3 linked regions of the Diceros bicornis minor genome follow. The protein of the gene in region 1 interacts with the protein of each later gene in a biochemical or structural test. Links are inferred from orthologs where the notes say so. Each region holds a gene or a part of one and is shown in the gene's direction. Other genes may lie near its edges.

Region 1 (7,941 bases):
AAACCTTTTTATTGTTAAGTTGCAGTATGGACAATTTTAGAGGAAAAACTACCTAATAGTTAATGATTATTTGATGTTTTTATAATAATCTAGGCACTGTTCTATGCACCTTACATATATTAACACATTTAATCCTCACGATTAATCTATGACTTAGGTGCTATTATTATTCCCATTTTATTGATGGAAATTGAGGGACAGAGTGGCCAAGTAACCCGAGATCACACACACAAGCTCAACTTGCAAGTGTGTAAATATGCTTTTAGTATATTTCTAAAGGAATCTTTAACAGAAGAAAGTACTGACCCCATGTGATTTGCTGCTACTTTTGTGATCCTTGTTGAAGTAACTTTAAGAAGTGAGAGTGACACCAGGCATTTGGTTAACTATTATGTGGTGGGTTAACCTCAAAATAGAAAATTTAGTCAATAAGAATTTTTATTTTAGAGTCAGAGAGCTATTTTAGGAAGCTGCTGCTAGAAAGGATATCCCTGGGACAGCAGATCCCTTAGTTCCTAATGAACAGCTGCATCACCAACACAACCTCTGACCACGCTAGGGCTCTCAGCAGGGTGATCCAGTCCAGCTTATTAACCCTTCTCTGTTTTCTTTCCAGCTAGCCACAGTGCAACCTGGCCAGAATTTCCACATGTTCACAAAGGAAGAACTTGAAGAGGTTATCAAGGACATTTAAGGAAGTGTGATACTCAGAACTTCTCTGGGACAATTTCATTTCTCCTAATTGCCCTTAACTTTTATTTCCAGCTCCTGTTCCTTGGAAATTCTCCAGTGTATGTGCATTTTTTTATGATGTCTGTACATAAAGGCAGTTCTGAAATAAAGAAAAATTTAAAATATTTGTTAATAGACTATCCTAATGCAGTCTTTTGTTCGAAATGCTTTTGTTAGGGGGCAAAAAGGATAGTGGTATTAATATCCCTAGCCTGTCAGAGTTTCTATTCTAAAATTGTTTTAGTGGCTCTCTACAGCAGAATCAACTATATCATGAATCCCTTGGTGTTGGCAAATGAACTCAAGCTAGCCCAGCTCCTCCCAGTGGTTTATAGGTATTAATAACATTGTAAATCTATTTCAGTCCTGTAGTTTCTCTTGAGTAAATAGGTATTTTTGCTGCTTTCCTTGTACAAAGGAGATGCTACTAATTGACCATTAAAAGAACATATTTTGAGGTCCTCCCCAAAACACTGGTGGGTTGGAGTAAGCCAGCTACAATGTTGTACCAGTTCTTGTGTCTTATGAGTCTATTTGGAAAGAGATTTTCTTTTTTTATGAAGTTAAGGACTGTAAAATAATTCATGAGCTTGGTCTTGCTGACGATCAATTACAAATCAGAAAGAGAGAATGGTGTAATTCAGAAATGGTTTACATTAGACTTTGGAATGTACTATAAACTTCCCTCATTAGAGCTACCATCATATAACTGGTTGAGATTATCAATCTATTGGAGCCTCAAAAATGGCCATATGAAATAGATACCATTATCATACTTAACAGATGAAGAATCTAAGGCTGTGTGACCGTGGACACAGAAAATTAAGCTGTTGGGACTTGAACTCAAATTTTCTAGTTTCAAATCAACTCTTGATTTTACAATGCAAGGTCCCTTGAAGCCTAGATACCTACTGAGTAACAGAGACATGTTATTGAGAATGTATTTGCACTATCTACAACATGGCTAATCCATATGTGGATAATGCAGAATTGATGGTATATATATTTTTTTTTAATAAATTTTTATTTATTTTCCCCCAAAGCCCCAGTAGATAGTTGTATGTCATAGCTGCACATCCTTCTAGTTGCTGTATGTGGGACGCGGCCTCAGCATGGCCGGAGAAGTGGTGCGTCGGTGCGCGCCCGGGATCTGAACCCGGGCCGCCAGCAGCGGAGCGTGTGCACTTAACCGCTAAGCCATGGGGCCGGCCCATGATGGTATATTATTAACACTTGTGGGAAGTTGTACTCTATGTCAATAAATTCTGATTATTTGAGTACACTGAATTCATATTAAATTCATACTGTATTTCCAGCGAAAAACAACTTGTGCTTATATATATTTGGAAACTGCAATGACAGGAAACGTTTGGAAGAAAAGAATTTTGCTCTAGACATACACATAAAAGTAGGGAACTAGAGTATATTGTCACCAACGTTCTGGAGACTCTTCTAATGATTTTAACCCTGTTATTAAATATAATGTGATCATGGGATTAGTTTCTCTCATGTTCACCTTTTATCAAATCCTATCTCAACTTCCATTTATTCAAATTTAACAAATTTATTGAGTACCTACCTATCATATGCCAAATAATGGATTAGGCATTGGGGATAGAGCTGTAAAAATACTAGGTATGGTCTGCTCCCATGGAACTTCTAGTGGGGAGAACTAGACAATAAACAATATTCCCTTTAACTCAGTGTAGATTAATGCAGAAATGGACAAAACATGCTGCTTTTGGCAGAGATGAGAGTGTGTCTTATGTGTATTATATAGGGGGAAAAATACTCGTGTGTTATGTAGGCGGGAAAAAAAAGGAATAGTTCTTAGTGTAACTAGCTTAGCTTCAGCTTACAGTATTTTCCCTCCCATTGCCTGGGCAGTGTGTTTGTACCTTAGATTACAGCTGGTGAAACAGTAAATTTCATACCCACTATAATTCTAATTTTAGAATTCTTGAAAGAACAGAATTATAGCATTCTTGCAAGAGATAGAACTTTGGTTTTCTGTAGAATTTGAAGACTTTCTACAAGGTTTCTTGTGTCCAATTTAAATAGAATCAGGAATGATCTTACAAGGAAAAGCAATGGTTTTGTGATATGCAACTGCTTTCTACTCATCTTTCTGGTATAGAATTTATCTTGGAGAAAAGTGTGGTTTTTAGTAATACAAATTTACGTATTTTAGTCCTGCCAGTAAGGTAGGATGTTGTGTGTCAGTATGTGCACTGACAGTGCAACTTTTGTATTTAGTGCCTGTGTTATTAGATGAAAGTGAACTACTAAAACACTTTATTCACTCAAAACATTTTCTCTGTGCAAAGTACCATGGTACCAAATACTTAGCAGCTGATATAGTTTGAGGAAGGAAATATATATTCTGTAAGCATATAATGATAACTAAAAGCAATGTATACAAAGTAAAGGTACAGATAATTGCAACAATTTAATATTGAGTTAAAAGGTGTTGTTAGGAATTTCTCCATGAGATGGCACTGGTGAGTTGGCAATTTTCTTTTCAGACCTTAAGACAATAGACCATTCATCTTTGTGTCACCCGAACAAAGAAATATTCCTGTATAGCCCCTTTTTTCCCCCCAGCTAATCACATGTTACTGGAACTGACTGTCTTGTGATCTACCCCACAGCTGGCATAGATTAAAAAATAATTTGTATTTTAAAAAGTAATCTGACACATGGTAGTTAATGGAAAGGAACAAATTGTCCACCACTTTTCATCTAGCTTTATCTTGTCATTTCAGTAGCTAAGAACTTGGAAGACTATTCTAATGATTTTACCATCCTGCTCAGATGCCATTCAAACATATTTTTCACTTCTCACGTCTTACTATGGTTATTCTGGAAAAACAAATTTGTAAATCTTTTTGTTTGCAAATTAACATAACTAGAAGGATTTTAATGTAAACATTAGGTTGGGTGCACTGCACCATTTTGCTGTACAATGAATATATTCTCATTTAGGTTTACCTCCAGTTTAGAGTTGAGTAATTTTTAGCTGCTTTCCTTATTTAGATGTAACGTTTTGTATTCTTTGTGTCTTCTATTTGCTACCTTTTCTACTGAACAACTTCTGTCGTTCTGAAGGCATAGAATCAATAAGGTTAAGATCCAGAACTGGTTTTACCTGTGCTGCATGTTCTAGAAGTTATGTGGGCAGCTTCTGCGATAAAGGGAACAGCACAGCGTAGGGGTTTTGTTTTATTTATTGGAGCCGTAGTGCTAATTTAGGGGACACCATATACTGGAAACCAAAATGTGCAGTGCACTCACTGCAGGGTTTCGGTACTTTGGTAAAGATAAATATGCATCCATAAAACGATCGTGTCTAAACTAGGCATTGGGCAATTCTCTTGCCCCCTTTTACCTGACTCTCCTATTTAAGCTACTTTCTAACTCCAGGAAAACCAATAAGCAATTCCAACTTTGGCCTGACTCCCTGCAGAAGGAGAAGATGAGTGAGGCCGTCCGTGGTGGAGAGACTTTTCTTCAAGCTTGCATGAGTCACGGACGTCCTGATGTCTATCTGCCTCCGTAGGATTTAGCCCACACAATTCGCATTCACCTTTTTGGCAGCAAGACAGCTGCTTCAGTAGACAATGGGCGCTCCAGTGCGCGGGGGCTAAAAACCTGAAGCTCCGGTTCATGACGAAGCCCCCTTTTCCAGCTGAGCAAGCTCAGGGATTCCCTGAGATTTCCAGGCGCTGCCGCAACCCCCAAAATTTTAGAGGTGTCTCTGTGGGGAGAGAAGGGGACTAATCCAGCCCCAACTTGAGGATGCCAGAGGGAGCAACGAGGGGTCAGGGCGCCACGGAGCGGGGGTCTTCACTGGAAGAGGGAGAAAGCTCCAACACTAACTCTGGAAGCCCGGCCGTGGAGACGCCAGGCGAGGAGGGGATGACCTCAGCCGTCTCTGCCACGTTCCAGCCAATCAGTCCCGCATCTTGGCATCCGAATCCAGGACCCCCGAAGCCGGAGGCGACGCGAGCCAATGAGGAGTGGACCAGGGAAGAAGGACAGGCGGCCAGCCTATGGAGGCGGAGAGGCCCGGCTGCGCGTATCCAAGGAGCACCCGGCTCGGGCTCGGGGGTGTGGCGCGGCGCCGGCGGGGGTGGGCGGGCGCGCTGGGCGGCAGGTGTCGGCGGCATCGGCATTCGGCGGCGATGGAGCGGCCCCGGGGAGCTGCGGACGGCCTCTCGCGCTGGCCCCACGGCCTCGGCCTTCTCTTCCTCCTCCAGCTGCTGCCGCCGGCGACCCTCGGCCAGGACCGGCTGGACGCGCCGCCACCGCCAGCTGCGCCGCTGTCGCGCTGGTCCGGCCCCGTCGGGGTGAGCTGGGGGCTGCGCGCGGCCGCGCCCGGGGGCCCGTTTCCCCGCGGCGGCCGTTGGCGCCGCAGCGCGCTCGACGAGGACGAGGACTGCGGCCGCGTCCGGGACTTCGTCACCAGGCTGGCCAACAACACGCACCAGGTGAGCGGGCGCCGGGCCCGGGCGCCGCCCGGACTGCGAGGTGCGGCCCCCGGGCCCCGCGCGCGCTGCTGGTCCCTCTGTCTCTGTCCGCGCGCCTCGCGGCTCCGCGGAGGAGCCCCCGGCCCCGCTGGGGCCCCGAAACTGCGGCGGGCGGGCGGAGTCGGGCCCGGGGAGCGGCCCCCAGGCCGCCGCGGCCCGAGCGGCTGTGTTTCGTCACAGGGGAGGCAGTCTTAGACTTTCATGGCATTCGTTTTTGTAAGTTGTCAAAATCTCTTGAGCGTCGTTGTTTTCTGTGTGTATAAATAGTCAGGGTCCAGTAACGCTCTAAGCCACCACGAAGCTATAGGAATAATTATCTCAAGTGCTTGGAGAAGTTGGGCTGCGCAGAAGCAAAGGTGTGTCCTCTCTGGGTCAGTACTTCCAGGACGGGTAGGCGGGTGCTCAGAAATCCCAAAGCAGTTGTTAGGTTACTGCGTGTATTTTAATAGTTAAAGGAACAAGCTTGGAAAAGGGGTGACAGTATATACGTGATCTCTCTTTCGCCTTCAGTTTGACCTTCTATCCTGGCATCGGACTCTGACCAGGATGTTTATATCCTGTTGTGACCAGGTTTCTAACAGTTAGGTAACACATTGCAGGTATTCTGCTCTGAGCTAGGTCCTAGTCGAAAACTTTAAAAATTGTGGCAGTTCTTTCCCTGCCTACAAGCGGTTCAACCTTCGCACACTAGTGGATTGACAAAGCCAGTTGTTAGGAGTGTCCTGGCTCCTTGCTCCAGTGCAACTTGGGCATCTTCCTTCCTCACGTTTTTCTAAAACGAATGATGTAATTGTTGCTACCCACGTTTGCGTAATATATTTTCAATTTAATATATCTTCTCCGTTATATCCATTCCTTTTTTCAAAGAGAGTTGTACATGGGGACAGAGATAAGTGACTAACTGCATTTGTCCTCATACATTCCATATCAGCCAAACTTCAGTCTCCCCTTGAACTGTCTTTTTCCCTCTGCCTGGACTATCCTTGTTATTTGTGCAGAGTTCTCAGATCTGGGGAGCCAGGGCAGTTGGAGTCAAGGCACAAGCAGTCAGGGATAACCTCACTTAATGCAGTCCAAGCAGCAGCCACATAAAGGTGGCCAAGCTAGTGCTGACGGGTGGGACAGGCTGGGTGCAGATAGGGTGGAATGAGTACTGGGAAGTCTTCCTGTTTGACGACGAGAAAAATAATCGTGTAGACTTCCATCTCGCAGTGGGGAGTTGAGAAAGGCTTTACAACACTGATGCTTAATTTATAACAGGACCACTGCCTTCCTTGAGCCAGCTGGACACAGCATTCTTACTCCATATTTCAGAATCTCCTCTTGCTGGTTGACCTACCTTTAGGACCTGTGGCTACTTCTGGATTTATTCCTTTAGTCAGAGTCTTCCCGGGTTAGTTTGAATTGATATATCATTTGTAATATATTGATTTCTAAAGCAAGAGGGTGAAAAAGCTGACTCAGGGGGCCCTTAGGCCAAATCTACTCAAAAGCAGATCTGAAACCACTCCTTTGAAAACCACTCCTTTGAAATCTGTATGTAAAGAAAGTTCCCTCTATTTTTTTCATTTTATTTAGCTACTGTTTCCAATGAGTTTTTTAGCTTATTTCTTTTTCAGTCTTCTTTCAGTGACCTAATTTTGAATAGCCATTTTTGCGTTTGTTAATCATCCCTGGTCCCTTCTTCCGAGATCCCATCCTTTTTGTAACATGTACATATGGTAAAAGTGGAGCCGTTGTCAACAATCTTCACCTTAGGAATGGGTGAGTAACGCGGTTGAGGTCTACCTCCTTAACCAAGAATTGTCATGTGATAGTCTGTTCTGCTTTTCAGTTCTCTAGTTTTAGAAGTCACGGTAAATCATCCTGAACTGTATTGAAGAGATCTAGTATTTTTGGACCCTTTATAAACAGTATGAAATAAAAGTATCACCATGACAGAACAACTTTTTATCAGAGATATTGTATACTTTTGTACAGCTGGGGAAGTGCCATTTAGAATAGTTTTTCGTAAGATGACAGGATTCAGTTCCCGAGAAAAATCAACAGTTCTTGGTTCTCCTCTTATTTGTTATATAACTTGCTGTTCATGTCAAACCCCATTAATTCATATAGCCAATGTATGTGAATACCCTCCAAATGTCCAGATCTGTGCTAGATGCTGGGGGTACTGAGATACAAAGAAAAGCAGATGAACAGCCTCAGAAGCCTTTAGCAAATCTCCTAGACCTATTTCTATGGCTTATTTGGCTGGTGAGAATATATTGGCATTTAATTAATCTTAAGAAAGGAAGTAGAGTGAAAACATGATAGTGCTTTTATATTCTTCCAGCTTCGGGAGACCTGTGCCCTAATGACCTATAATAACTAAGGCTGCTTCACTCATGAAATCCAACGTGTGTGTGTGTGTATTTATAAATGTTCCTGTCTTAGACTCAATAAATAACCTTCCTTTTGCCTCTAACCCACAGCTATTTTCATGCTGTACTTTTAACTGATTCTTTCCTTTATGTGCTTGGAGTGTTCATGACATGTATAACCTTTGTACATGAGAGAAATTGAACAAGACTAGGAGATTTTATTAGTGTTGGTTGTTAAGTTGGATTGCTTCAAAACATTCCTCCTGTAAGTACCCCTTTGAGGTTAGGCATGAAACTCTGTCTTAAAGAAACAGATGAAA
Region 2 (7,802 bases), on another chromosome or scaffold:
CTAACTCTATGACCTTGGATAAATTTTCTTTTATTCTGTAAGATGCAGGCAAAAACTGCCCCCTACCTATCTTTTGGAGCTGCTGCAAGATTTATTAAACTAGGGGAAAAAAACCCAAAAACTGTTTAGAGGTCTAAAACTGTTGATGAGATCCAAATTACATAAATACAACACAGTGTTGTTATCTCCAACAGGTATATGAGGTTGAATTAACTTTTACAACATCCTTACGAGTCAGGTAGATAATCTTAGACCTATTTTTACAGATAAGAGGGCTTAAGCCCTTCTGTTAAAGCCACTTAGATTGGGCGTATGAGAAGAGACACAATTACTGGATTCATACCTAGGCCAGTATTTGCTGATATCTGAAAGTATTTTAAAGGGCAGCTTTAAAAAAATCTCATCATCTTCTTGGCAGGCAATGAGAAGAGTCTGCATATTATTCTCCCCAGTTTTCTTTCTGTGGTGCTTCATGAAATTGATCTGAAAGGCAAGACACCTTGTCTCAATGGTATCCAAGGGGAGCCAAGTATTTTGAGAGCTATTAAAAGACATTGTTCTAATGATGAGACATATAATGTGATTTAGTGCAGCCGAAGCCAAGGTATCCATCAGATATGGAGAGAGCTAGGAAAAAAGGAAGAAGAAAATCAATGTGACAGCTACTGTATTTCATGCAGTGAGGTTATGTGAGTAATGAATACACCACTCTCTTTAACATTACCCCCCCGCCCTCACCAATACAAGCAAATATAAGTTGGAGAATACAGATATTCCCCTCAGCCCAGACAAACTTGCTCACTTGTCCAAAATTGCTTACTCAACATTACTAAAAATGATTCAAAGTGCTAATTAGAGTGCCTGGCACATAGTAAATTGTCAATGAATATTATCTGTTATTAGTTGGATTTGGAGTAGAAACAGTATTGCATAAAGTCAAGAACATATTAGAAATAAGATGCGTGGGTTAAAGCCTCGCCTCTTGCACTAAATTGCCGTGTGACTCTGGGTAGCTGTTTAACGTGGTCTGTAAAGAGAGGACAATGATAGTACTTAGTTGAGATAAATTTTGTAAAAAAATGAATGAGCTGGTACATGTTAAATCCTTAACACGGTTTCTGGCACATGTAACAACTGATTTACAAAGTGTTAACTACTAGAAGTTGTGCAGGTAATGCTGCTACACAAGTACTGTGCAGCCAGCCAATCGTTATTTATTGAGCACTTACATTGAGCCAGGCACTGAAGGAGGCAAAGGGAGACAGGTCTTATGCACATGGTTTTTGAGGAATATCAACAAAAAATATTCGGATAAAATAACTGAAGGCTATAATATATGCTAAGAAAAAACTAATATGGGGCTGGCACAGAAAATATGAAAGGAATTTCTTCTTAGGTAGGGAGTCAGGGAAAGTCTCTCTAAGGAAGTACATTTAAAGAGAAGGTCTCAAAGAAGATGAGTCAGCCATGTGAGGTGGGGATGGCCGTGGGCATCCCAGGCAGGTGGAACAGCATATGCTAAGGCTATGAGTTGGAAAAACAACTTGGCACATCGGAGGAAAGGATTGCTCAGAATGGCTGGAACATATGAGTGAGGAGGGAGCGTGCTGCCAAATGTGATTGAGGACGGGGCAGGACCCAGCTCATGCAGACCTGATTGGTCATGGTAAGGAGTGCAGATTTTCTTTGTTTGCAATGGTAAGTCAGTGAAGGATTTTGAACAGTGGCAAGGAATGATACTTTTTATACTTCTGGAAGACCACCTTTGCTGTTTTGTAGGGCAAGGCATCTGAACTTTTTTGATTATGCACACCAACCAGCATGTGGCTTCAAAATGTTCATATTTGCTCTCTCTCTTTTCTGTCTCTCTCTCTTATATGTATATAGAACAGATATATGTTTTTCAGTAATTAAATGTTAACGAGGCTATTATTTTCTTCCTGCACACAAATAAATCATCTTGTGGTACCATTTGGGTACTCGTACCCCACTTTGGTATGACTATTCTAGAGAAAGGATGGAGCAGAGCAATTGCAGAGTAGGGAGCACAGTCAGGAGGCTGCTGTGCTAGTCCAGGTGGGAAGTGATGGTAACTTAGACTAGGTGGTGGTAAATTTTTCATATACATAATGAAAAGACTCCTTATTGGATTACAGATCTAACTCTCTACCGGCCTTTGATATAAACTGTTTTCCTAATAAATGACCCATTATTAATGCATTATATTTATAAAACCTATTGGGTTTCTTAGCGGGTTGTTGGATTGAAAACACCTTGAAATAGACTAGCCCACTTTCCTCCATGATTAGCTTATTTCTTGAACTTTTCTGGAAAAGGAGGATGGTTTAGGGAATTACTGGTACTTTCCCTTTCTGCTTGTTGCCAAACTTCAATGGGGATCAGACCTACGAGAAATAAAATGAATTTATAAAAACAACAAGAATACTTGGAGCCAATTTCATTGTCATCTGTGTAAACTTTTTCTCAAATGAACAACAAAAATCAGGCATTAAAAAAGTGCCTGCCCTCTCTGAATTCTCAGCAAGTGGCCTGCAAATGCATTCAATTTAAAGGGATCTTTGTAACAGGTGTGTTTTAAAAGATGGGAGTTATAAACTCTTTGGGGAGGAAAAATCAGCTCTACTTGTACCAATTCTTCAGGAAGAACTTCATTTTGAAATCTAAACAATCTAAATTTTGGTAGGGCAATAATAGACTAAGACCAGAAAATTTGAATCCACTAATTTCTTCTTCTATTTTGCCTTTTCCAGTCCTATATTTGGATGGGAATGTATATGGGTTCTGACTTTTTCATCTGGTTTTCCTCTCTTGGAGGAATTCTCCCTTATCCAGACTGGAAAGGAGGTTAGCAGGGCATAGAAAGAAGGCATTAAGCAAATGATCCTACAAAGCTCTGAAAACCTTGCTGAGGAGAGGAGAACCAGTGCCCTGGGCTTTGACAAAGAGCATTTGTAATTCTGGGAGGAAGAAGGACCTCCGGCTCTCCTCTCCTCCATCTAGAAACCACAGTCTGCCAGATAGTGTTCCTTTCTCCAGAGGATTCAGGCTTGGGTAGTAAAGGTGCTTTTGAGAGAACAGACTGAGTCTCCTTTAATGACAAACAGGATGCTCTTTTGTCCTTTTAAATATTCAGTTTAATGGCTGAGAAGCCTGCTCTCCTTGCATTTGCACATTACTTGGATTGGTCATAAGAACAATAACTTAAATTAACGTTTTGTAACAGAACTCTGGGTTTAACTGTTTTAAGAGAAATTCCTCTTGGACAATATCAAAAGAGGTATCATTAATTGAAGAGTAATTATCACTCTGTTACTTTCAAGTTGGTTCCATCACAAACTCAGCATTCAGAGTTTTCAGTGAGGTTACCTTTGCAAGTGTCAAAATGAACAAAAATGTAATTAGAAACTGGAAATTGTACTATCACGTTGCGGCATTCATTTATTCAATCAGTAAATATTCATTGAATAATTTAATAGTTACCAGGTGATAAGGAAGTATTATTAGGCACGTGAAGACTACAAAGAAATCTGAAGGTATTTCAACCCTTAGAAGCAAACTTTCTATTTGAAAAAGGCTTGGATTTTGAGAAGTTCTTTGTAATTTTCAAAGCCCATTCACCTACTGTAAATCTTCATCTGAACTTTTGAACAGTAGCAGGGGAGCTGGGCTGGGCAGACATTATAATCATACAATTATAGAATTTTAGGATTGGAAGGGATTTTAAAGGTCAACTAAAACAACCACTTAATTTTAAATTGTAGGAAGCTTAGAGATTGCTGCTTGTCTGAGGTCCCACAGCAAACTAGTAGCAGAGCACCCAGCATAGACTTGGGATTTGCTAATAAGAACCTTAAGGCATGCGTTAGTAGCTCTGGGCTAGGCACAACTGACAGAGTAAATACAGCAGGATGCCTCCTTTCCTGTATTTATTTGCATATATAGAGAGGATAGACTTACAATAAATATTTATAGAATTAACGACTGACAGATTTCCCACCGGGTAGGGCACTGTGTCAAGCTCTGAGGATAAAATGGCAAATCAAATAAGCTCTTCGCTTCTTCGAGGTTGCTCACAATTTGGTCTTCCTGTCCTCAATGAGTTTGTAGTCTCTTAGGGAAGCCAAGATATACGGCGAGAAGATGCGAGAAGATTGGGTTCAAATACAGTGGATGCTTTAGGAGGTCAGGAAAGGAGTCTAAGCTGATAACTGATGGAAAAAAAAACCCAAACTACACACACACACACACACACACGATCATTTAATTACATCATTCTTTGCTGTTGCCTTTCCGGGATCTCCCCCAGGCCCGACACTCAGGCTCTGCTCAAGGTAAGGTCGAGACGGCAACTCACCGAGACTAAGAAGGGAAAGAGCAGGAGCTCATCCATCCCTACCTTCTAACCTAAACTGGAAAAGACCAAGGGAAAAGGAAACAGCAACAGAGACTGATAGAAACAATAAAACAGGAATAGGAATTCCCCAACACAGTGACCACTCAGCGAGCTCCGGGCTGACCGCCCCCACCGGAGGGGCGCGCGGGCTCACCGCGGAGACCCGCGGCCCCGCGGGCGCAGAGCGGGCGGCTGCGAGGAGCGGGCGGCCACAGCGGCGGCGAGCCCAAGGGGAGGGTCGGCAGCGCCCCGGGTCCCCGCAGCCACCCGCGCGCAGCGCAGCTCGGGAGCGGGACGCGGCGCCGGGAGCCCCGGCAGCGCCCGCCCTCCTTCCCGCGTCGCCTGCCAGCGCGCCAGCGCCCGCTCCGCCCGTGACTTCAGTTCAGCTCCACCCCCGCGTGGCGGCGGCTCGCTCGGTCCGAACCCGCGCTCGGCACCAGCCCAGCCTGGACAAGCGGCAGCCACCTGCCCCGCGCCGCCTCCGTCCGCCCCCGCCGCGGCCCAACTTGGATGGAGTTGGGGTCCTGAGCGCCTGTCCCCCACAGCCGGCCAGCGGAGAGCACCGCGCCTCCACCTCCGGTCCGGAACCTTCTCTCCACTCCTCTCTGCTCCTGCGATGGGAAAAGTTGGCGCGGCCGGCGGCTCCCCAGCCCGGCTGAGCGCGCTTCTCGCCGGCGCAGGGCTCTTGGTCCTCTGCGCCCCGGGCGCCTTCGGCGGCGGCTCTTGCTGTCCCCCGCTGCACCCCAGCTCGGCCCAGCGCTGGGCTCCGACCCCAGGGGGCTTTCCTCACCAGGGACCGCGAGGCAGGGCTCCTGCCACGCCCCTGCCCCTCCTTGGGCGCCCCCTGTTCGCAGTGGCCCCGGGAGACCGAGCGCTGTTCCTGGAGCGGGCCCCCGGCACCGGGGCGTCGGTGGCGGTTGCTCCCCGCTCTGGCCGGAGGAGACGGAGTGCAGCGGATCAGCAGAAGGCAGAACGGGGAGAAGGCACGAGTAGAAACCCCCGGGGAGTGCTAAGGGACGGAGGGCAGCAGGAGCCTGGGACTCTGGAGCGGGACCCGGACAAAGCCACTCGCTTCCGGATGGAGGAGCTGAGACTGACCAGCACCACGTTCGCGCTGACAGGCGACTCAGCACACAACCAAGCCATGGTCCACTGGTCTGGCCACAACAGCAGCGTGAGTAGAATGGGACTGAGGGCAAAGGGGTGAGAGATGGAAAGGGTTAAAGTGGGCTCTGTGATCTGATAGAGAATTTGGGGAAATGGGGTTTCTGGACTTGAAAGACGCTGCAAACTAAGGTCTTCCCTGCTCACCTCCCTCAGGAGTTAATGTTACCTATTAGATGACCAAACACCCCCAGCCCCCAACACAACCAGAGTCCTCTCCAAACCCGAATAACGCTTCTAAAGGGTCAGGTAAATCCCTATTTCCTGTTTCTTTGGTCACATTGGTGTAGTATGGATCTGAAGACCAGGCAAGCAGGGGTAGGGGGGTAGGGGTGGGGGTCAAAGTATTCTGAATGCGGAGGTGAAAGGGTTAAATTTCCAGGCTGGCTGACATTCCCTCAAGTGACTTTCCCTTTACTTGCTAGACTTGTGGATGAGCTCAGGTAAGATCAAGAAGGCTTTGTTTGTAGGCTTTTAATTTTATTTTTTATGCAGAGCTGCCAACCTCCTCTTACCCACAAGGGAAGAGAAATGCAATGGACAGTGGCTGATAAGGTGCCCTTGATGTATTCTCTGTTTCTGGGGACCAAGTGGATGCAAGTTTCAGGACGGGAACTCTCCAGCATCTTCTAACAGCACAAGCCAGTGTGTTTTGAGAGCTGGGGCTTTCCAGCCTGTGAATGAGTGGTTGTTCTCTGGCGTGATCAGTCCCAGGAAGATCAGATATATCCCAGTGACAACAACTCCCTGTTCTCCCCCACTGCCTGACCTCCTCTAGTGAAGAGCACAAATAAAGGCTTAGCTTTTTCTTTATGAGGGGAAGAGAGGGATTGCCGGATTCCAGGAGGCTGACACTGGGGAGAGTGGGTGCAAATCCATGAGCTTTGGCCACATCAGGGAAGGTTTTAGATTTTTGGCAAAGCCTGCATGTCTGGAATCTTAGGTAGCTATTCTAGTTTAAACTGCACCTGGAAATTTCAATGAACGGAAATAGTAAAGAACCAGCTTTGATGATAACTGAAGACTATTTAAAACTGTGGAAACTTCTCCTGGCTGCCATTAGGCAGACAAGAAAAACATAAAAACTAAGGATAGGTACAATGAAAAAAAAATCAAAGTTTCAGCTTCTGTCAGGTTATTGAGATTGTAGTATTTGTAATATGCACAGTCTATACATCCTGGTACCTTTCAGATGTTTTCAGTTGTGATGTAATTGCCAGAAACCTTCCTAGACACAGAGGAAGTGCCACTTTAGTGAGTTGTGCTGGTTGTCAGCTTTTTAATGAAAGTCATGAACATTTTAAAATAATAGTCTGTCATTATGAATTTCTCAGGTACATAGATATCAACTATATTAAGGCAATCGTGATAAATAGTATTTTGTATTATGTCTCCGTCCTGAGAGCACCAGCAGGATTTTGCCTACAATTCAGCCTTCATGACTGAGGCTGTGGTTTTATATGGTTCTCAGGAGAGGTTTAATCAAGTAATTGAAGCCGAAATTCTTTCCGTTCAAATTCTGGAGATCCTTGTCCTCATGCCTTAACTTAACTATCCTATCTTTTATATCATAACCACTAAAATTAATCCCCCAATTTGAATTTGAATCTTCTTAAACTGATTGAGTAACTTTTGCACTGCTTTAAGTGATTTAACTCGAAGCTTCTGGCTTTAAGGGGAGATTGCAAACACATCAAACATATTAGATCTTATTGTATCAAGAAATAAAGGATTTTGGCCTCAAAATATTTCTGGCTTTTAATGTAATTCAAGCTGTAAAATATCACTCACCCATTAGACCTCTACTTTAGTTCATCTCTTGAAAGAGCTTGGAAAGAGTGAGAACAGGAGAGTATGTTTTTGGCAAATTTTAAACTTCATTTAAGATATGGTGCCAAGCACTGCCAGCCTTTTTTTTTTTTTTTTTGAATGGTGCTTATAAACCCAGTTGGGCTTACTAAGGTCAGAGCTTGCATGGGCGACTTGCAGGGAAATCTGAGATAATGTAGGAAATAATCAAGGTGGTGCATGTTAAAAGTTTGAGCACTCAAATCATGTCACTAATAAGATTTCTCCCCCCTGAAGTCTCTTCTTCTGTGAGGACAGCCGCCCCACCCCCCATCCTGCTGCCTACACATAAATTGTTTTTTTAGTGTATACGTACAGATGGTAGAGGGAGAGCAATAGTCTTTATCTAGGTCCTCCAAAACAAAGCTGGCCCAGA
Region 3 (7,010 bases), on another chromosome or scaffold:
GAGCCAGCTGTACATCCTGCTCAGGCCTTTCATCAAAAAGACCGTTCGAGGGGCCGGCCTGGTGGCGCAAGCGGTTAAGTGGGCGCGCTCGGCTGCGGCGGCCCGGGGTTCGCTGGTTCGGATCCCGGGCGCGCACCGACGCACTGCTTGGCAAGCCATGCTGTGGCGGCGTCCCATATAAAGTGGAGGAAGATGGGCACAGATGTTAGCCCAGGGCCGTCTTCCTCAGCAAAAAAAGAGGAGGATTGGCGGATGTTAGCACAGGGCTGATCTCCTCACAAAAAAAAAAAAAAAAAAAAAAAAAAAAAAAGACCATTCGAGATAGGCACTGTGTAAATTCAGAATCACATAAAAATAGGCCAAATTCTTAGTGTGATTTTTAAAATACAACTTTAGGAAGTTCGGTAATTATTTTTTTCTAAATTATCTTTTTGCATATGTTTCTAACTTTCTCCATGACGAATATAAAATTTAGCAGTAGAAAATCTCTCACCCCAATCATCACATAGCCTAAATAGTTGGGTCTCGAAAATAAGGTAATTTGCTCCTTACAATCTGATTTAATGTCCTGAAATCCTTTGGTTTAAACTTGCTGATTCTTCTCGTGGCTCTTCTCCCAGTAAAACCAAGAGATACCACAGTCAGCTGTCCTCGTCAGCTCTAACTCGTGTCCACAATCACATCCCTTTTGACCATGCTTATAGAAACATCACGAGTAAACCAATTTATCCTTCACGATTACTTTCTAAATGTTCTCAGGGAAAATCTGGTAACTTGGAGGGTTACAAGTTGATGACTCTCATATGTTTGGGGGTTAGTCTCAGTTGTTTCATGATGGTTTTTGTGCTGTTTTTCTTGATCCAACTAAATATTATTCCCAGATGGGATCAGTGTTTGACCTTCTTGTTCTACTCTCCTAATCTTGGCCCTTCTAACATTTTCTTGCTGTAGTTTCTTTCTTTTGTTTGCCACTAATGGCCTTGGCTGGTTACATAATTCCTGAAACAAGTGTTGACCGATTTGGACACATTTGAACATGGCATGGAGCTCTTCTCATGGTTCATGAAAAGCTTACAGAGAAGTACACCTCATTTTAAGGTACCGTCTAATGAATAGGGATATTATGTCTCCCTTAAGATTTTTCTCAGGACAGGCCTTACTTAAGAATTTGGAGGATTGTGAGTGACATAGTTGGAGGCTGGACCGGGCCTTTGAAATCATGCAGCATGAATTTGAAAACACCTTTGCCACTCTGCTCAGCAGGATAGTTTTCTGTCTACTTATTATTTCCCTATGCTAATTACTTACTCCAATTTTCAGCAGTTTTTGAGGTCAATTCATTGAATTCTAGACTTTTTTTTTTTGCAAGGCAGACTGAAAGCAGGAGTAACTAGGAAACTTAATAAACATAATTAAACAAAATGCTTATAGTGATAGTAGAATTTACTTCAGCCAATTAAAATTATTAATAGAAAAAAATATGTCAATGTCAAATCTGAGCCTGCTGCCTCTGTTTCCACTTGAGTAATGAGGATTAGTTTACATTTCCTGACAAGAATAGATGGGAATTCACATTCCTTCCTAACCTTTGTCCTTCTAGGACATTGGGTTAGGATAGTATTAGATCACAACCAAAAATAAAGAAAGATTTTGACTAATTCATAATTAATTTTTAAGCCCCACAGAAGTGAAATAGGGAGGATTTTCTTTTCAAGCAGCGAAATTTTTCCTCCTTTGGGTGGTTAGAAAATGTTCCGATCATAAACTTGGAATCTTTGCTTCTAACATATCAATCACGTCAGAGACCAGTCTTTAAGAAGAATCAGAAATGCATGCTTTGTATTCTCAGCATCACCCTGAGAAATAATAGGAAAATGATTTTGTAAAAACTTTGATCTGAGACCTTGCATATGCTACCTGAATTAAATTAAAAAATTATTCAGAATTCCGTGCAAGCGCTGGTATGACTTTAGCTTATCTTGGCCTCATTGTTTTTGAATGTAAGAGGTACTTTGAAGGCAAATAGACAAGTGTTTAAGTCTGGTCTTTTATCGTTTTGGTAACACTATGATCACAAATCAGAAAGTTTGGAGATGCTCAGAAGTGTCAAGAGGTCTGATGATCAGAGGGCTTATCTGCACTGACATTTGGTCTTCTTTTATTTCTAAATATTCCTACCATTTCCGACTCCTCTGTCTTTTCCTCAGTAAAACTGCACCACATACTGGAAAGTAAAGATACAAACATTTATTTGTATAATGTCAAGGGAGAGTAGGAATTAGAAGATTGGCCGCAGACACAGTCAGAGTCTGGGAAATGAGAATGCTTTCCCCTTCCGCAGAAATGCTGACGTGGCAATGTGCACTTAGCAGGTAGATTTGCTGTAACTTCTAACCACCAAGCAGCATTGAGAATACTAAGATTCTTGATGTTCACTTGCTAGGTATTTCTCAGGAACGAAGTACATTACAATTGAGCTTAAAACCTGGGGAAATAGCTCATTTTCAAACAAATTTACAGTCGGAAAGTAAGGATCAGTTTGAAGTTAGCATAAGGTAATAAAAAAAAGTTTAGGTTAGAGGTCCTCCCGTACTTTATAAAGTGGTACAAGTATTTGATTTTTTCACTTATAAAACTAGCCTCTTAAATTATTTTGCAATATTAAAAGAAATTGTGTCTGCATTCAGCCTACACCCCTGGGAATCAATACAGGGCTTCCTTGAGGTGGCCAAGCCCAACTTCATGTCCTCTGTCCTTTGGTGGCTTCTGGTTAGCCTGCATATTTCACATACATGAAATATTCCACAATAAACTCCGCCATCTGTGCTGTAGGGTAGTTTGTATTGGTCACGTGTTCTGTCAAGTTGATAGAGGTGCAAAGCTAAATGTGTGACACTCTAAGAATATGCATATATTTGAATAATTTGACTCTTCAGTCCAACAATTTGCAAAGCTCTGAAAGATCACACATCCTGGTGACACTTCAGATAGCTCCGTTTATTGGGGGTGGGGGAGGCAGGGATAGTTCTAGCTGGATGTCCTGAGTTCATTGAAGTCTTGTCTCTGGCATTTAGCTGTGTGAACTTGGGCAAATTATTTCGTGGCACTGAGCCTCGGGTTCTTCCTTTATAAAATAAGAATAATAATTTCTGTCACTAGTCTTTAGAAACTCTAAAACAGCTAATGTAAGTGAACTAATTTTGTTAACTGTAAACCTTTAGGTAAACGGAACTGAGTATATAATAATATTATATATTCAGTCCAACTGCACATTCTTGACAACCACAAGAGGGTCCAGGAAAGGAAACTGTTTATAAATCTTTCCCTTTCTCCAAATTAATGTTGGAGTGTTTAGAGAAATTCTTACAGCAATGCGTCTTAGCAATTATTAGGTCAAACCCCTTTGAGATTACAGAAAAATGTACATACACGTAAAACTGCCTACCAAATTTTGGGAGGATGGGAGATTCCTCTGACCCCCGTTTATGCATCCCTAAGAAAGAGTGTTTCTCAAAGTGTGACTTCAGATTTTCGGCATCCGAATTGCTTCAGGTGCTTCTTAAAATGCTAATTGCTGGACCCGGCCCCACCCCTGCTAAATCACAATTTCAGGAGGAGAAATCTGCATCTTAACAGGCACCCTGGTGATTTTTAGGCTCGGAGGAGGTCCAAGGACTCCAAGTTAAGTACTGTTGTCTTGTTCCTTATTCTAAATTTTTAGGTCTGTCCTAGTGCGTACGAATCGGTTGAACTAATGGGAAGAAAATTCAGCTCTAAAGCAGGAACCTAAGTAGACGGTTGACAGCGTTCGTCCAATGGTAAATTGAAAATGGTCCTCTGGGCCCTAGCCACTTAAGTTCTCGCCAAGGGTCTTGACTGCCGGCAAATAAGAACCCGAAAGACTGCTAGCTTTCCTGCTTGGGGGCGGGGGTGGGGGCGGGAGGAGGATTAACTGAGCCAACTCCACACACACACGCGCGCGCGCGCGCACACACACGTTAAACCAGGAGGTTTTTAAATTTATCTTTGCTATCCAGGTTCATTATTAAAAAGGTCGGTTTATGTGTGTAAGTTTCCTAGGGAGGGAAGCGAAAACATCTGCAAACCCATGCAGTGGCCCGGAACAGAACTCTTCTAATAAAAGATGTATCATTTTAAATGCGCTGAATTTTGATTCTGGTAATTCGTGCACTGGAGTGTCTATTTCGAGGCAGCGGAGGTATCATATGACAGCGCACGTCAAGGCACCGTGGAGCCCTCTCGTGGACTCCCACCCACTTTCCCATTCAGCGCGGAGAGGGCGGCTCGGCGGCCGCTCCCGGCGCGCGAGCATGAGCCCTCCCCGCCGCTGCCCAGATCAAATGGAGCTCCTCGCTCGGGGGGTGCGCGTGTCCCCTCCGCCATGCAATTTCCACTATCAATAATTTAACTTCTTTGCTGCAGAACAGAAGGAGTACCTACCGGGCACCAAAGACTCGCCCCCCCCCCCCTCTTTTTAACCAAAGGGAACGTGAAAAAATAATAGAGTCTGGGAGTTTCGGGGCCGGAGTCTTCCCCAGAGCAGCTGCCTTGATGTTTACTTTGACAAGTAGTGACTGAAAAGGTGGGTTTCTTTTCTTTCTTTCTCTTCCCATTTTCTCTCTTGGGTCTGCTGGGAAGCGTGTGGCTTTAGGGAGGTCTGTCATTGCTTCGGTTTTCCGGCTGGAGCAAGTAACTTGGTGTAACGTTATCTGGGGGCGTTCATTAATAAAAAATGCCGTTATTATCTTGATTGAATTCCTATTAGGCAACTCAGGAGAGGTCAGTGCACGAACTCGGGTTAAGCCGGCGTGTTTAAGACGGCGGAGTAAACCAATAGCCCCCATGCTCTGTGCCATTTCATTGTGTGCTCGCGTCTGCAAGCTCCGTGGTGCGGGAAGGTGCGGGAAGGTGTGTCTGTGGCCCGGGAAACGCATGCCCTCTCCCACACAACTTGGGTGCCGGGATGGGGCGAGGGCGTGCAAGGGAGGGGAGCTGAACCCCGGGCGCCGGACTCGCGCTCGCTCCCTCCGGCGCCAGCGCGCGGGGCCGGGGTTTCCGCGGAGGGCGCGGGACGCGGGGTTCCCCGGGGCGGGGCTGGCGCACCCCTCGAGGCGGCGGGCGCGGGGCTTGCGGAGGTACGTCGCGGGGCCCTGGGGACCGGCGGCGTGGGGCGCGCGGGGCGCGCGGGCCCGGCGAGCCCCAGGAGTCCCGGGGGCTGAGCCCGAGGAGGAAAAGGCGCGGCGTTCCCTTTAAGCGGCCGCCCCGCATGGCTGTCGGTGGCGCGGGCGAGCCGGGGGCGGGGGCCGGGGGCGGGGGGCGGCGCCGTCTGACCAATCCAGGCGCAACCGAAGAGCTAAATAATGTCTGACCCGGGCCGAGGCGCAGGCTGGAGCTCCGGTGCCCGCCGCCGCCGCGCCCGGGCACAGCCGGCCACTCGCCGTCCCGCGCTCCCCGACGCGCCGCGGGCTCCCGGGCGGGGCCGAGGAGCCGGCCCGCGCGCCCCCTCCGCCTCGTGAGGCTTTGATGAGACACCCGAGCTGCAGCCGCCACCGCTGCTGGGGAGCCGGCGGCGAGCGGCTCCGCGACGGGGCCCGGGGCTGCGCGCAGGGGCCGCGGGCGGGACAACGATGTGACTCCGCCGCCGGGGACCCGTGAGCTTTGTGTGGACCCCGAGGTAGGCGAGCCGCGGGCGTGGGGCTGGGCGCGGGAGCCGCCCGTCCTCGGGGAAAGTTGGCTGCGGGGCCCCGAAGTTGGGGGAAGAGACAGAACTCCTTCCTTCCTCTCCTCCAGGAGAAGGGGCATTTGGAGTCGTTCCCGGGGGGCTTTCTCCTCCCACCCCACGGGCCTGTGGGGCAGCCAGAACCCCGAGGAGAGGGATCCGACAGGGCCTGGAGTAGGGGGGGAGTAAGCCAAGAGGAGACGCGGAGCGGCGCGAAGGGAGCGAAGACGGCGCTACGGGGGCCCCCGCAACCCTCCCCCAGGCGAGGAGGGGTCGTGAGAGAGATTTAGGGCGCCAGCCGTCGGGGGCCCTGACTCAGGTGAGGGTGTCGAGGCTGGGATGTGAATTCTTCCCCTGGGCTGGGCGATCCCCGCGCAAATTTTGGGGGGGGCCCTTGCGTCCTCAGCCCGCATCCCCGTCCCCAGGATTCAAGCCGTGCTGCTCACGGTCACCTGCTCCCCAGAAGCTGAGACCAAAGCCGACTGATACAGGTCCCGCGCCAATGTATCCCGGAAAACTTGGGACCCTCTTGGCGCTCGGAGCGGAGAGGGGCTACGGTACTCCGCGGCTGGCTGTGCCCGCGCCTGTCTCCATCCCGCACCCCTCCCTTGGGGCAGCTTCTGGGGCAGTGAGAGTTTTGACTTTCGGGGCCTGGGGGGGGTGTGTGTGTGGGGTGTCCTGACCCGGGTTGGTCTCTGGGGATGCAGAGCTGGAAGAAGGAATGGGTGAGTGAGCTGTGCCAGGAATAGCTGAGGATTGGGGGCTTGATGCCCGACGGGCAGAGAAGGGCAATTGCAGACTGGGGGCACCCCCAGGGGGGAAAGCCTCGGGGCTGCTGGGGTGAACTGGACTCGCGGTCGGAGGATGCTGTGTTTGTGTGTTGGGGTGGACCGGGCTGGGGGGTGGACCGAGGAGAGGGGGCGGGGAGAGCGGCGCTAGGAAGGTAGAGGGTGCCCTCTGGCGGCCGCGCGGCCCAGAGCAGCTGCTGGGGGCGGGGACGCGGTGGGGATGGCTTCGCGGGATCCCTCCGGGAGCTGGTGGGAGGGACTTGTTGAACGCCGCTTGTGACTCCCGACTTGGGTGAATTTTGACTCCTCGCGCTGGGGGAGCTGTGACAGGCTGCGGTGGGTGGCGTGTTAGGGCTTCCTGGGTCTTATTTTAGGGTCCTGCAGGTATCTTACATCGGCTCCTCGATGTCAGCAGGAACCAGTGAAGATTTTCCGACGAGAATGCAGGAATGTTCTTGGCCAGAAGCAAAGAAAAGCATATT

What was found. The genes of interacting proteins can lie anywhere in the genome.
Region 2: the proteins of SORT1 (region 1) and SORCS1 form a complex in vitro, tested with the Homo sapiens proteins (2 studies listed by BioGRID and IntAct, with this or other methods). The link is inferred for Diceros bicornis minor from reciprocal best matches to the Homo sapiens genes SORT1 and SORCS1.
Region 3: the proteins of SORT1 (region 1) and BDNF form a complex in vitro, tested with the Homo sapiens proteins (2 studies listed by BioGRID and IntAct, with this or other methods). The link is inferred for Diceros bicornis minor from reciprocal best matches to the Homo sapiens genes SORT1 and BDNF.

The regions. Positions count from the first base shown.
Region 1 is NC_080743.1:42,464,489-42,472,429, reverse strand, and holds the start of SORT1 (sortilin), read left to right. Parts: upstream 1-4,883; 5' UTR 4,884-4,916; coding exon 4,917-5,222; intron 5,223-7,941. Other genes in the region: PSMA5 (proteasome subunit alpha type-5), read left to right, coding at 617-694.
Region 2 is NC_080745.1:71,535,081-71,542,882, reverse strand, and holds the start of SORCS1 (VPS10 domain-containing receptor SorCS1), read left to right. Parts: upstream 1-4,790; 5' UTR 4,791-5,030; coding exon 5,031-5,588; intron 5,589-7,802.
Region 3 is NC_080746.1:83,690,727-83,697,736, reverse strand, and holds the start of BDNF (brain-derived neurotrophic factor), read left to right. Parts: upstream 1-3,998; 5' UTR 3,999-4,603; intron 4,604-5,551; exon of another isoform or gene 5,552-5,695; intron 5,696-5,927; exon of another isoform or gene 5,928-6,059; intron 6,060-6,838; exon of another isoform or gene 6,839-7,010. UniProt on the Homo sapiens protein: Important signaling molecule that activates signaling cascades downstream of NTRK2. During development, promotes the survival and differentiation of selected neuronal populations of the peripheral and central nervous systems.